3 linked regions of the Saccharomyces cerevisiae S288C genome follow. The gene in region 3 interacts genetically with the main gene of each other region. Each region holds a gene or a part of one and is shown on either strand. Other genes may lie near its edges.

Region 1 (5,361 bases), on a different chromosome or scaffold from region 3:
GTTGAGAAAACCATAGATATTTATATTTATATGTATTTGTACTTCTTTGAGCAATGTATATTTAAGACTGATCTCAACTTCAGCAACTGTTCAAATTCACTGTTTTTCCTAATTAAGCACAACATGAAAAACTAGAATTTTAGAAAGAAAAGGAAAAAGAATACCAGATGGTAGTTAATTTCTCACAAAAGCACTGCCAGGTAAAGGTATACAGCAAGGATGGACTCTCTTGAAGCTAGATTACAATTCATTCAGGTCCTGAAGAACCTGCAAAAGACGCTGCACAAGACCAGAGACTCTATCACATCATCGTCGACCACCACACCACCGTCATCGCAACAAAAGCTGAACAATGACCCTATACAGTTCTACTTGAGAAACTACAGACATCACTACGAGGACTTCCACCAATGTTTGTTCGATACAACCATGAAGATGGACCCACTAGATAGACTGGACGTAGTGATATACTATGTTAGAATAATAAGAAACTTATATCCGCATAGCCATTCCAATACCAATGTTACAAAAGTGTTAAACGAAGTGCTACTCATGGACATAGACTTGGTTTTTGAGCTTTGTCTGCCCTGCCAGGACTGGAAATCCCTCACGAATCAAGCCACCTGTAAAGAGCTATTCCTTGACTTATCCAAACTAATCCATTACGACGCCACCAGCGTCACGCACACACCATCAGACACCACACTCATAGACGCTACTACCTGGTACAGTGTCAAGACAGAGAGGACTACAAAGGACTATAAAGAATCATTGCAACGAACGGAGTCTCTGCTTAAGGACAGAGACTTGAAGAAATTGGCTTTCTTTCAGCAGTTCAATTCCGATACAACTGCGATCAACCCGGACTTACAGACGCAGCCAACCAATGCAAACATTTTGTTGCACAGGATGGAAGCAGACAGGGAACTGCACAAGAGGTCGAAAGAGACAAGTTGGTACATCGAAAGGCCCTCCAACGATATACTGGATGAATCCGAATTTAAAAGCTTGTGGACGCATTTTGAAACTACTGATTCCGGATTTGATAAGGACGATTACAAAAATATCAAGGCTTTAAATGACATTGCGAAGGCATCTTACATATATTAGTACCATGACGTTATATATATATCTGTGAAGAGAATCCGTATCTGTATTATATATACGTATATACGTATCAATGCGCGTACAAAATGAACTTGTCTTTTTCTTATCTCGATTTCAGGAAAAGCAAACTATTCAAGGTGAAACGGCGGCTAATTTTCCTCTAAGTTACTTTTATTGTAGTCCTCAACATGTGCAGACGAATAAACTTAACACGGTTTGCAGAGTGTGTTGTTGAGTATAAAACAGTCAATTTCTGTGGACCTGGCCGTAGCCTATTGCTGAAAACACACAAAAGAGGAGTTTGACGAGACTTAAAACAAGCCAAGGAAAATACCATGTTAGACTACTCCCTTCATTCGATGGTTTTACGCCGCATTTCTACACAAATGAATTTACATTCGGGCTGATATGGTTGCTACATAAGCGAATTTAAAATTTGAGAAGGTTCATTGTTGCCTTGTGGTTCGAGCTTAAAGATCATAAAGAACCGCGGGGAATTTGTCTAGTTACAAGCTGGAAAGGACTGAGCAGAGGAAGAGCATTCGTTCACAGAGAGGTCCACGATAGAAAAGTGCCAAGAATATTACTTCTTTCACATCAAAAATGTGTGACGGTTCCTTTGCACGTTGAAGCGTTATCATTTTTTTATGTATATACGGCACCGGTTTTTCGCCTTTTCCTGTTCGTATATTTATAGTCGCCCCGCCATTGCTCGCCCTGTTCCTGGTAGTCTAGGCTCTTTGCATTTCTCTTTTGGTGATTTTTATTTTTTATCTGCCGTTACCAATTAAGAAAAATTTCTGAAATCGTCCAACAGATATGCGTAAAGCAAATATTGCAATTATCATTTTGTGCATAACTTACCAATAATTGATTTCTGTTTCTGTAGGATTTCTCGACAAGAATCTCAACTTCTTACCCGTTTTGGCCAAGGACTTTGCAACTGAAGCAGCAGATTTGAGATATATTCTGGGGAACAAAAGAAGTATTAATGACTTTTACATTCTCCACTTCATCAAGGAAAAATGGGAGACCTCCTTTAAAATCAGTTTCTACGGAAGATAACATTCATCTATTGAGGAAGCGGCGTCAACAGCAGCTGTCAAGTAATTCTACAGATAATTCGCTGCATCCAAATAGTGGGCAGACTCCACGTGCAAGTGACAGCCAGGACGATGACATACGCAGCGCTTCAACAACCAATTTAGACCGTTTACGACAAGAACGAGAGGAAAATTCACTGGAAATGGACTGCACACAGTCAAGATTATCTCATAGAGCAAATATGCTAGTGGATGTCCTACCATCTTTTGAGATGTATAATGCCTTGCACAGACACATACCTCAAGGAAACGTTGATCCCGATAGACATGATTTCCCCCCTTCTTATCAAGAAGTTCGCACTCAAAGAATGACTATATTGCCCAGCAATGATAATTCCGTGGAAAGGTCACAATTGACAGCAGTGCCAGGATCCGAAAACGCATGTAATAATGCGACTGCCCATTCTCTTACCAACCTACATCCTCTACAAACACAACATCTTACAATAAACAGTACAAGAAGTGGTGGACAGTCGCTCCATTCTTCATCAGACACCAATATCAGTCAAATACCGTTCGAAGATGATCTAAACGACTCGGATAACATTTTTATAGACAAGTTATACACCTTACCCAAGTTATCCACTCCTATCGAAATTGATATAAGAATAACGAAAACTGCATCAATACCTCATGAGCGTCCTGAGGAACAGTCAATATTGAAGGAATACACCTCGGGTGATATTATTCATGGTTATTGTTTAATTGAAAATCGGTCCTCTCAACCACTGAAATTTGAAATGTTTTATGTCACTTTAGAAGCGTACATATCTGTAATTGACCGTCAGAAAGGGAAAAGAACGTTAAAGAGATTTTTAAGAATGGTCGATTTGAGCGCATCTTGGTCTTATACAAACATAACCCCAAGTACGGGTATTAATATTGTCCCCGGTGAAAGGGATTTTGACGATGCCATCATTGGTCTTTCAAACAGCAGAGAATTGAAGCCGAACACAAAGTATAAGAAATTCTTCATGTTCAAGCTTCCTACACAGTTATTGGACGTGACTTGCAAACAAGAGCAATTCTCACACTGCCTTCTGCCTCCCAGCTTTGGTATCGACAAGTATAAAAATAATTGTAAATACTCTGGCATAAAAGTAAATAGTGTCCTTGGCTGTGGGCATTTAGGTACAAAAGGTTCACCCATTCTGACACTTGACATGGCAGATGATAATTTATCAATAAATTATACAATTGATGCCAAAATTGTCGGTAAAGATAAAAGAACATCTAAGCTGAATATTATGAAAGAAAAAGAATATAACTTGAGAGTTATGCCCTTCCCCTTTGCTGGTGTCACTAATCAACAAAACGAGAAAACGTGTTTGAGACAACTGAAAAATTTGGAAAGCTTGATTGAAGATAGATTTGAAGCTTTGAACAAGATTTTCAAGAAACTGGAATTAAATGAGGCCATTTCGAATGTAGATATTCATGACACAGATATAAGCGGGACTTTGGACGGTAATGAAGATTTGGATTCCGATGAGATATTAAGACGTAAGCTAGATCAACTGCACATCAATAACAGGATTGATGATACCGCCAGCCAATCACCATCCTATGACTCCAAAAATATGGCTCCAAAGGAAAACCTAGTCGAGACTGAGTTACGCTATAAGTTTAAAAATAAGAATAAATCAAATTCAAGTTTATTTTCTCATTTTTTGAGTTCATCAGAAACGGGGTCATCTTCAACTGGTCCACATGTATATAATTCCGGATTGATTGTATTATCAGTTAAAAAACCGCAATCTACATTACCTTATTGGTCACCATCATTGTTGAGAAAAACCAACAAATTTGAAGCAAAGAGTGAACAAGAAAAGGAAAACTGGCAAAGGTTAATGGGCATGCTTCCAGAAGGAGTGAAAACCCCACTGACCAAGTTAGATGTACATTTGACTTGTATCCAATCTAATAATAGTGCAGGACATAAGCCGCCAGAAATAAGCTCTGTAACGACAGAATTTGTGGTCATCACAGCAAAGTCTGATAATTCGATTCCTATCAAATTCTGCACTGAACTGTTGATGAATGAGAATAGATTAAACAAACTAAAGACAAAATTTTTGACGTATCAGAAAAAAGTTCATGAATATCGTAAAAAATTTGAAGAAAACCATGCGAAGCTAAACGAGCTTTATAATAGAAATAGAGATCATTTCACTCCAAAAGAGCTTTTGTTCACAAATTTCATATCTGATCAAATAAACAATGATATTGACAGTTTAGCTGGATTAAAAGTTAACATTATTGATTTACATGATATCTTCAAAAAGCAAATACATACTTTTGAAGAAGAAAACGAGGATATTATTTCGAAGAAAGGAAGTTCCAATCCTCCTTCCGCGTCATCCAGTAATAATAATTTCTTACAAGCAACATTTAGCAATGGTGCATCCACCGCTACTAAGTTTACTCAGCAAATTGTGCATGAATGGGAAAAAGTTAAGCCATTACAGTATAAGAGGGATGTTACAGTTAATTTGAAGCTCAACCCCAACATTAAAGAAACGTTAGTGCCCAATCTTGAAACGTGTTTGTGTTGTAGATTTTATTGTGTTCGAGTAAACATCAAATTTGATAACCACTTGGGTTCTATGAAAGTTGATATTCCGGTTGATGTGAAAAAGTTACAAATTTAGACCATACAACACTAACAGTAATCTCGCAGTTTTACAAATAATTGATAAAAGCAGGACTATTTTTTAACCATTTAATATACCTATTACTATTAATATCATTAATATTATTATATTATGTACAGTCACTTATTTCTTTTTTTTTTTTTCTTTCTTTCTTTCGTTCTATTTCCCCCTAGTATATACGAATTCTGCACATCACAGCAAAATATATGGCTATCACATGGCACAGGTATTACTAAAGAAGAAGAGAGACAGAAATAGTATAGGCATGTTTTACTAGCTTCGATTTTCTTGACAAAAAAAAAAGGAAATTTGTTCTATTTACTTTAAACTTTAATGCCCCAATGGATGGCACATATACCAAAAGTTAAACTTTCGTAGCCAGCAGATTTGAATCCTGCCTTCTCAATCATGGATTTGAACGTTTCTTGGTCAGGAAATCTTTCGATAGACTCCACCAAATACTGGTAAGAGTCGTAGTCATTAGCAATCATCGAGCC
Region 2 (3,221 bases), on a different chromosome or scaffold from region 3:
ATGATTACGTCTATATTTTCTAACCGAATACCGTTAAAATTGCGTTGAATAGTACCACGAATAGCATCTTGCGAATTATCCGTGGTGGGTAATAAGTTGGAATTTCTGGAAGCGTCTTCTGTACGTATTGACAGGATTGAAGGAACAGCGCCGTAATTAAAGTTCAGAGAGTGAACCCTGTGTAAGACGGAAAGCAGAGTAAATATCCTATTAGTGTAGCCGGTCAATTGTGAGATGTCCTTTATCGAATGCATCAATCTCGAGCCTGCATCTGCAAGCGACAACATCAACCTTTTGTTGACTATAAATTCCTTCATATTTTTTTCCTCTGAATTGATGCCTGTCGCTAAGGTAGACATAACGATAGGGATTGAGGCAAAAACATAACCCAAACCGGACCATGTATATTTTAAAACATAGTCTTCCAACATATTGTAACCAAACTTGACTTTATCAACCAGCAGCATTTTTTCCATCAGCACATCATACAACTCTTTAACTTTCGTCCTTTCCACTGCTGTTCCTTGGTAAAATGCGATCTCTTCGCTATTATTTATCATGTTTAGATGATAATTGTAGTAATCGCCGTCTGAAGCAGATCTCTCGCCTGCCAATTTACCTAATGGTGGCGTGTATTTCCTCAAAATAAACCCAGTAATGAAATAATTAACAAATATACCTGCTACTCCCACAGTTCCCAAATTATCACGTAAATAAACCGAAAAGAATATTAAATCAATAACTGGCTTTGCAATGTTTGCAAAAACGGAGCATGTCGCATCGCAAAATTTTGCAACATCATTAGTAATGGAGTTGTCGATATTCTTGATTACCGAATTGGACGCCTTTGCATCAAAAATTAATTTGTAAAATGTTAGTCTTTTATCCAAATACATGTCATGGATGTAACGTGTCAAATTTACCCTAAAGTTTAAACTCAACTTCCTTTGAAGTAGCTTAATAGCACTATTAGTATAAGAAGCAGGGACAGCAATTAAAAACCAACACCCTAAGTCCCACAGAAAGCTTCTTCCTCTACCAGCAATTATATTTTTGACTATTTGTCCATCCAGCTTGGCTACAAACAAAGAGAGCCAAGTTCTCATCACCAGGAAAAAAATTTGAGCAGTTAAAAGAAGAAAGTTTTTGTCAAAAACTGTTGGAATTAAAATTTTAGACAAGACGTTCATTTGGTTTAAAAATTTTGAGTAGAATAACTGCGAATTCTTGGCTCTTTCCAGTTCTACATTTTTAAAAAGAAACTTATCGTGTTCATATACATCGTTATCCTTTGGTGGAATAAATATCCTTTTCCTTTTTTTTTTATCTGTAGCATTCATAAATTTGTTGTCATCGGGACTCTGGCGGTCGACTAATTCCACTTCAGGAATATACATTATTCTTGCACCACTGTCTAATTGCATTTGAGATCTTGTTCTTCTTATTAAAGGTCTCCTATTCCTTCTCTTCCATGGAAACTTGTAAAATTTATAACATTTTAGAATAATTTTGAAAGTACTATATGTTACACCAGAAAAAAGTGTGACACCAGATAGGAAAAGCGATACCAATAAAATCTGGGCCCTTCTTCTTAGCTTAGGATGAGCAGCGTTTGATCTAGATATCTGTAGAAGATGCCGTATCAATAACTTGAAATATACTTTAGGTGTGACATCGTTAACGTGTAGCCCAATACAGTGAGTATGTAGATTCAGGAGCAAACTCTTTAGTTTCGCTGGTGCTGCTAATGTTGTTGACATTTCTGTGTTATGCGTTCTAAGACTTCCAGATTGTCTGAAACGGGTTTCATTGTTAGTCTCACTTCTTAGAGAAGCATTCTTATATATCTTGACTCTAAAAGGGCTGAAAATAACCGCCGAAATTAAAAATTGGGGTAAAAAAGGGTAACGAAACTTATGCGGTTAAGCCCGATCAACATATAGCTGAATATTGCGTCAAGAATAATTTCTTAATCGGGATTATTTCCGAAGGAAGAAATTCTATTGAAAAAAAAATCTTAACATCAAAACTGCTTATATACATTCCACAGGTTCAAGCGGTCATAAGAGATCTGACTTTTGATAGAAAAGCTAGTTCTTTAAGAAGGCTGAATAGAAGCTAAGCACTATTTTCTTATCAGGAGTATTGCTTTCTAATGAACGTTTATTTCATAAGTGCTAGCTTTGAATGCCTCCAGTGATGAGTTTTGCATCGAGGAATATTGGACGTAAGATAGCAGGAGTGGGAGTTGACATTGTATACTTGCCAAGATTTGCACATATACTAGAGAAATATTCCCCATTCGACCCATGTGGCCGTTCTACCTTGAATAAAATAACACGGAAGTTCATGCATGAAAAGGAAAGATTTCATTTCAGTAATCTTCTCATCGAAGAAAACTGCTTAACTCCACGATTGCATGAATATATAGCGGGAGTTTGGGCTTTGAAGGAATGCTCATTGAAAGCGTTGTGTTGCTGTGTTTCAAAGCATGATCTACCTCCTGCCCAAGTACTGTACGCTGGAATGCTATATAAAACACAAACCGATACAGGTGTACCTCAGTTAGAGTTTGATAAGATGTTTGGAAAAAAGTATCCAAAGTATCAACAGCTCTCGAAAAACTACGATTCTCTCTTTTCCACTCATGAGTTTTTAGTTTCGCTATCCCATGATAAAGATTATTTAATTGCAGTAACAAACTTGGTAGAAAGAGAGTAAAAGTTTTCTTGCAGCCGTATAAATGTGGCCCTATTTTCAACGTCCAAGTTATTTTCTGCGATATTTGAATGACACTTTTAAATGCGTATATAACAGCTCTTAGAGCTCAGAGGAAGCTTTATCGCCGCCTTTTATAGGAACAAGAGTTATGTACAAAAAGCCATCAAAACTTCGCAATTTAGAATACAAATCATACAGGAGCATATGCCAAGGAATTTCAATTCCTTGACAAATAACCATGACATCATTACCATTGATTCCTTCCTTTACGTCCAGAATATCGCCTTCAATATCCTTCAACGTAGGATTGACTCCAGTCATACTGATAGTTGGTTGTGATATTCGAAAAGTTCCTGATGTCCTTGAGGTTTGAATGATGAGCGGTATATGTCGCGGTCTTGATGAACTTATCTTGTTAGATATTTCAATGAAATCTTGGAAATTTCTCGTAATAACACTGCCCCAAAATTTTCGAGCTTCGTTGACCGATAAAGACATAA
Region 3 (4,448 bases):
TACTGCAACATGGGTTAACAAGGCTAATTGTGATTTACTCTTAGTCGGAGATTCTTTGGCGATGACTTCATTGGGGTACGATAGCACAATTACACTATCCTTGAATGAGTTTAAATATCATGTTGCCTCTGTGTGCAGAGCTGAAGGTTCTTCCATGGTAGTGGTAGACATGCCATTCGGTACGTTTGAATCGGGCATATCTGATGGCTTGAAGAATGCCATAGATATCATGAAATTGGACAGTAAAGTCACCTCAGTCAAAGTTGAAGTCGGTTCTTACACCAAAGACAAATATGCAATGAAATTTATTGAAGAACTGTGCTCCCGGGGTATACCTGTTATGGCTCATATAGGACTAACTCCCCAAAAAGTTCATTCACTTGGAGGTTATAAAGTGCAAGGTAGCAAAAGTCTATTACAAATGCAGGAGCTGTATGAAACCGCCATGCAACTACAAAAAATTGGCTGTTGGTCTATCCTGATTGAATGTGTCCCCCATAAGATGGCTCAGTTCATAACATCTAAACTCTCAGTACCAACAATAGGTATCGGTGCAGGTAACGGTACCAGTGGACAAGTTCTAGTTATATCTGACCTTCTCGGGATGCAAGGCGATTCTGTCCCAAAATTTGTGAAGCAAGCTGTAAATATGACAGATATTGCCACTCAGGGCTTGAAGGAGTACATTGCAAGTGTAGAGGATAGGACATTTCCTGAGAGAGGTACTCATACTTTCAAAGTTAAGGAGGACTTATGGAATGAATTCCTCTCTTCAATTAACGAAAAGTAAAATATATAGATAAAAATCACTGCATAGGGAAAAAAACTTTAAATTTTAGGTATACTGAAGACAACAAAAAATACATAACTTAAAATAAAGGGGCATTGATCCAATGTTGTATAAATACATAGGAAAGTGGTTTGAAAATTGTGTGACATCATACGACTAATTCATCAAACTTAGTGAAAAATTCTGCAATTGCCTTGGTAGCCCACGAGTTGTTGTCTTTATCTAGGTAAGCTAAATGACCACCTAAATCGGTTCTACAATACAAAATACGAGGATTCTTTTCCACGATTGAGTATGGTTGATCTGGGCCGACAACAGGATCATCCCTGGAATTGATAACAAGGGTAGGAACCCGAATTGTATCAACTCTGTTTATTGAGCTGGCCGCTTTATAATACTCCATAGCATTTGGGAAGCCTAAAGCAGGCGCAGTGTACACTTCATCAAATTCCCGGGTCGATTTAAAGCTCTTTGCCTTTATTAGATTTTCAGGCGTGAACATATAGAAAGATGGATTCTTGACTGTGGGAGGATGATCGGGGAGAGAGCCATTTGGAACTCCTAATTCACCCATATTAACCTGAACGGTTCTTGTTAAGAATTGCGCAATATTTTTGGAAAATAAAGTTCTTGACCACCAATCCTGGCTCATCCTAATTGCTGAAAGGAGAAGATCCCAAGGATTGCACAAAGTAGCAGCTGCGGATAAAGGTGATTTATCGCCCTCTTCTCCCAGATAGTTTGCCAGCATCGTAGCACCAAAAGAGCATCCCACAGCGTATAGTTTTCTATCTGGATGTCTTTGCTTTTCTCTTTGCAAAAACTCGCGAATATCCATTGTGTGATAAGCTGTAAATAAATTTCTGGTGGTAATTTTGGAACGTGCACAACCTCTGGTATTTAGGACGACCACTTGAAATCTCCCACTGCGAGACAGGTTTTCAGCAAGAGATCTTATAATCGGCTCATGACTACCACCAGCAAGACCATGTAGAATAACTACTAGGGGTAGATCAACCTCCCGTAGTTCTTCCAACTCATTATCTTTCAGGTACCTTGTACGTGGTTGTAAACGAGGCCATCCTTCTGGATGTGTCGCCTTCTCGTCTTTATCAAATTTTTTTTTATCAAAGCTCGTAGTACTTTGATCGAATTCATAATCCTTTTTCCATGAATCTATGAGCCAGTCAGCGGTGCAAACTCCACCATCCGAGAATTTGACAATTTCCCTGCCGTAGAATACAGGAAATTTCTTAGAGAAATCAGCAGCACCTAAGTACAAAGTTTGCAAAATACCTGTGAACAAGTAAGGACTCAATTTGAATTGGGCACCATTCTTCAACGTTGGGACATATTTGTTAGCGAACTCGTCAAAATCAACTTGCTCCTTGTTGTCTTTTAAATGGAGTTTAATGGAACCATTTTCACCGACAATATGCGAAACTGTACCATTGTATCCCCAATGGAATGGGTTGATTGCTGGCCATTTGGAAACTTCTGACATATCGGAAACTTTTATGAGCTTTGTTTTTTACGCAACTACTATCAATGTAATAATAGAACTTAAAAAACTGCTCATATTAATAATAAACGGAGGAAATACTCGAGGAGCTATTACTTCCAGGGACATCCGATATCTGACGCCTTTTAAAATCTGCACATGCGCAAGATTTAAAAAAAAAAAAGGATCTCGGAACCGGAACGAGATTGCTCATTTTTCGTTCCGTTTCCGCAGGTTTTGCAAATCATTAAGCAGATACACAAGGGTCCTTTTAATGTTTATGTAATTTCGTGCAAAGTGAAAAAAAAAATGGACCTGCTTGGAATAAAATAATAAGTAACATTATGTATATTGATTTGAAAAGACCTCATATATTTACAAGAATATCTAATCGATGTCTAAATTTATTTCTTCCACCATCAATTTTTGAGCCACGGTTCCTTCGTATAGAGATTGGAAGAATTTGATTGACAACAAGTTACTTTCTTTTTTGTTTTCCAATTCTTTCTTAGTGATTTGTTTTTTATCCATAATTATTTCACACGACCTTAGAATTTCACGTGTAGGTACACGCAAAACATCACGTACTTCATTTGAGGTTCTTTGAGCGTTAAGATGAATGTAATCCAGTTCTTGCAACTTTCTTTTGTATTTAATGGAAAGATTCATTGGTAAGGCACGGGGGAGGTCATGAATTAAATACGTAAGTCCCAACAAGGAACCTACCACTATAACCGGAACTGATAACTTCTTGAGTGAGCTCCACGACGATAATTTAATGCCGTTTAATATAATGTTCCCCACAACCTTTGTACTTCCTAGAAAGTACAGCGTTAGAGTGGGAATTTTTGATGTGAAGAGCAATGATGGTCTTGACCAATATTGTGTCAAAGGATAATTTTTCAAACCCAAATACTTCATTAGGCCAATCTGACCCTCGTTAGTTTGTCCTTCTATATCCGGCAGTGGTGCTGTGACAGGTTTCTGCCAGCTTAAGTAAGACAAAAAGCCTTTCCAAGTTGGAGCAAACAAATCAGTTATTGACAAAGATACTTTAAGCCTTTTTCCTATCAAATGCTTCCTTTTTCTAAACATTAGTTCGCTTCTGAAAACACGTTCACACATGAAATCATCACCAAGTTCATTTTTTCCAATCTCATAAATTTTTTTTACCAGTAAATCTGTCTTTTGCTTGGCAAATAATTCACTTGATCCTATTGACTCATCAATCTGATTTGCTATGAACGCTTCTGTTGAAAATATGAAGTCATAAATTTGACCGAGGCCCTGATATTTCGGATATTCGTGTAGCGGAACATCCAACGCATTGAGAAGTGCTTCTTTAGTATTGTTATAAGTCATTGTAATTGTTTGCTCGGCCATTTGATCAACGGAAGTTGTTAAATCATTGCACTTTGCTCTAGCGCTCAAAATTTCAGGTCTCAATGTTTCCAGTTGTTCGTTAATTTTTATTTCTTCTTCACTATACATTTTCATATTAGATTTGGAGATCATTATTATATCGCTTAATAATTTCGATAGATAAGTCTTGGCAGGTAACAATTTAGAAAGTGATCTTTTCTTCAAAACAAAATTGCGTAGAGAATCTTCCAGACTGTCAAAATCCGGATCGGGATCGCTGCTAGAATATGGGTCGTCGTCAGGTTTTCGGTCACCATGATCTTCATTGTCATTTTCATTATGATAATGTGGCAATTCATCTCCGTTTTTGGAAACAAAGTGGACAAAATCAGCTGCACGTTTATATGTTTCTGGGGACAGGTCACGGATTTGCTTTAGGATCAACTCCTTACAACGTTGTTTGTCCCTGATTTTGTCAAATTTTTTCACAACAAAAAACATTAATTTTTTCTCACGAGATGCTAAAGAAATAAACTCCTTGGCAGATAGTGTTAGCTGGTTCTCTGCATTGACAACAAATATAACTAAGTCGATTTCTTCTTGTCGGGACATTACTTCGGCGGTTTGTAACGAGTCCATGTTCAACCCAGGGGAGTCAATTAATGAAATATCAACAGTACCATTCCTTAATAGACTAGTAGAGGCAGGCCTTTTATCGTCCTTTATGTAAATCTTCAGTAAAGCATATTTTCCGTTTTGGGGAACCAAATCGGGAAGTTCTTTCAAAGTGTGTAT

Evidence for each region. Genes that interact genetically often act in the same process or in processes that back each other up.
Region 1: mutations in EHT1 (region 3) and BUL2 together harm fitness more than expected from each alone (negative genetic interaction), as found in Saccharomyces cerevisiae (2 studies listed by BioGRID).
Region 2: mutations in EHT1 (region 3) and PPT2 together harm fitness more than expected from each alone (negative genetic interaction), as found in Saccharomyces cerevisiae (2 studies listed by BioGRID).

What each region holds. Positions count from the first base shown.
Region 1 is NC_001145.3:44,844-50,204, forward strand, and holds BUL2 (ubiquitin-ubiquitin ligase BUL2), read left to right. Parts: upstream 1-2,098; coding exon 2,099-4,861; downstream 4,862-5,361. Other genes in the region: CTK3 (Ctk3p), read left to right, coding at 220-1,110; COQ5 (2-hexaprenyl-6-methoxy-1,4-benzoquinone methyltransferase), read right to left, coding at 5,188-5,361. UniProt on the Saccharomyces cerevisiae protein: Component of a RSP5 ubiquitin ligase complex which specifies polyubiquitination and intracellular trafficking of the general amino acid permease GAP1 as well as other permeases such as PMA1.
Region 2 is NC_001148.4:271,794-275,014, reverse strand, and holds PPT2 (holo-[acyl-carrier-protein] synthase), read left to right. Parts: upstream 1-2,199; coding exon 2,200-2,721; downstream 2,722-3,221. Other genes in the region: ATP-binding cassette long-chain fatty acid transporter PXA1, read right to left, coding at 1-1,760; ATG5 (Atg5p), read right to left, coding at 2,821-3,221. UniProt on the Saccharomyces cerevisiae protein: Transfers the 4'-phosphopantetheine moiety from coenzyme A to a Ser of mitochondrial acyl-carrier-protein.
Region 3 is NC_001134.8:583,869-588,316, forward strand, and holds EHT1 (medium-chain fatty acid ethyl ester synthase/esterase), read right to left. Parts: upstream 2,295-4,448; coding exon 939-2,294; downstream 1-938. Other genes in the region: ECM31 (3-methyl-2-oxobutanoate hydroxymethyltransferase), read left to right, coding at 1-790; FZO1 (mitofusin), read right to left, coding at 2,679-4,448. UniProt on the Saccharomyces cerevisiae protein: Displays enzymatic activity both for medium-chain fatty acid (MCFA) ethyl ester synthesis and hydrolysis (esterase activity). MCFA are toxic for yeast and this enzyme could thus be involved in their detoxification by esterification.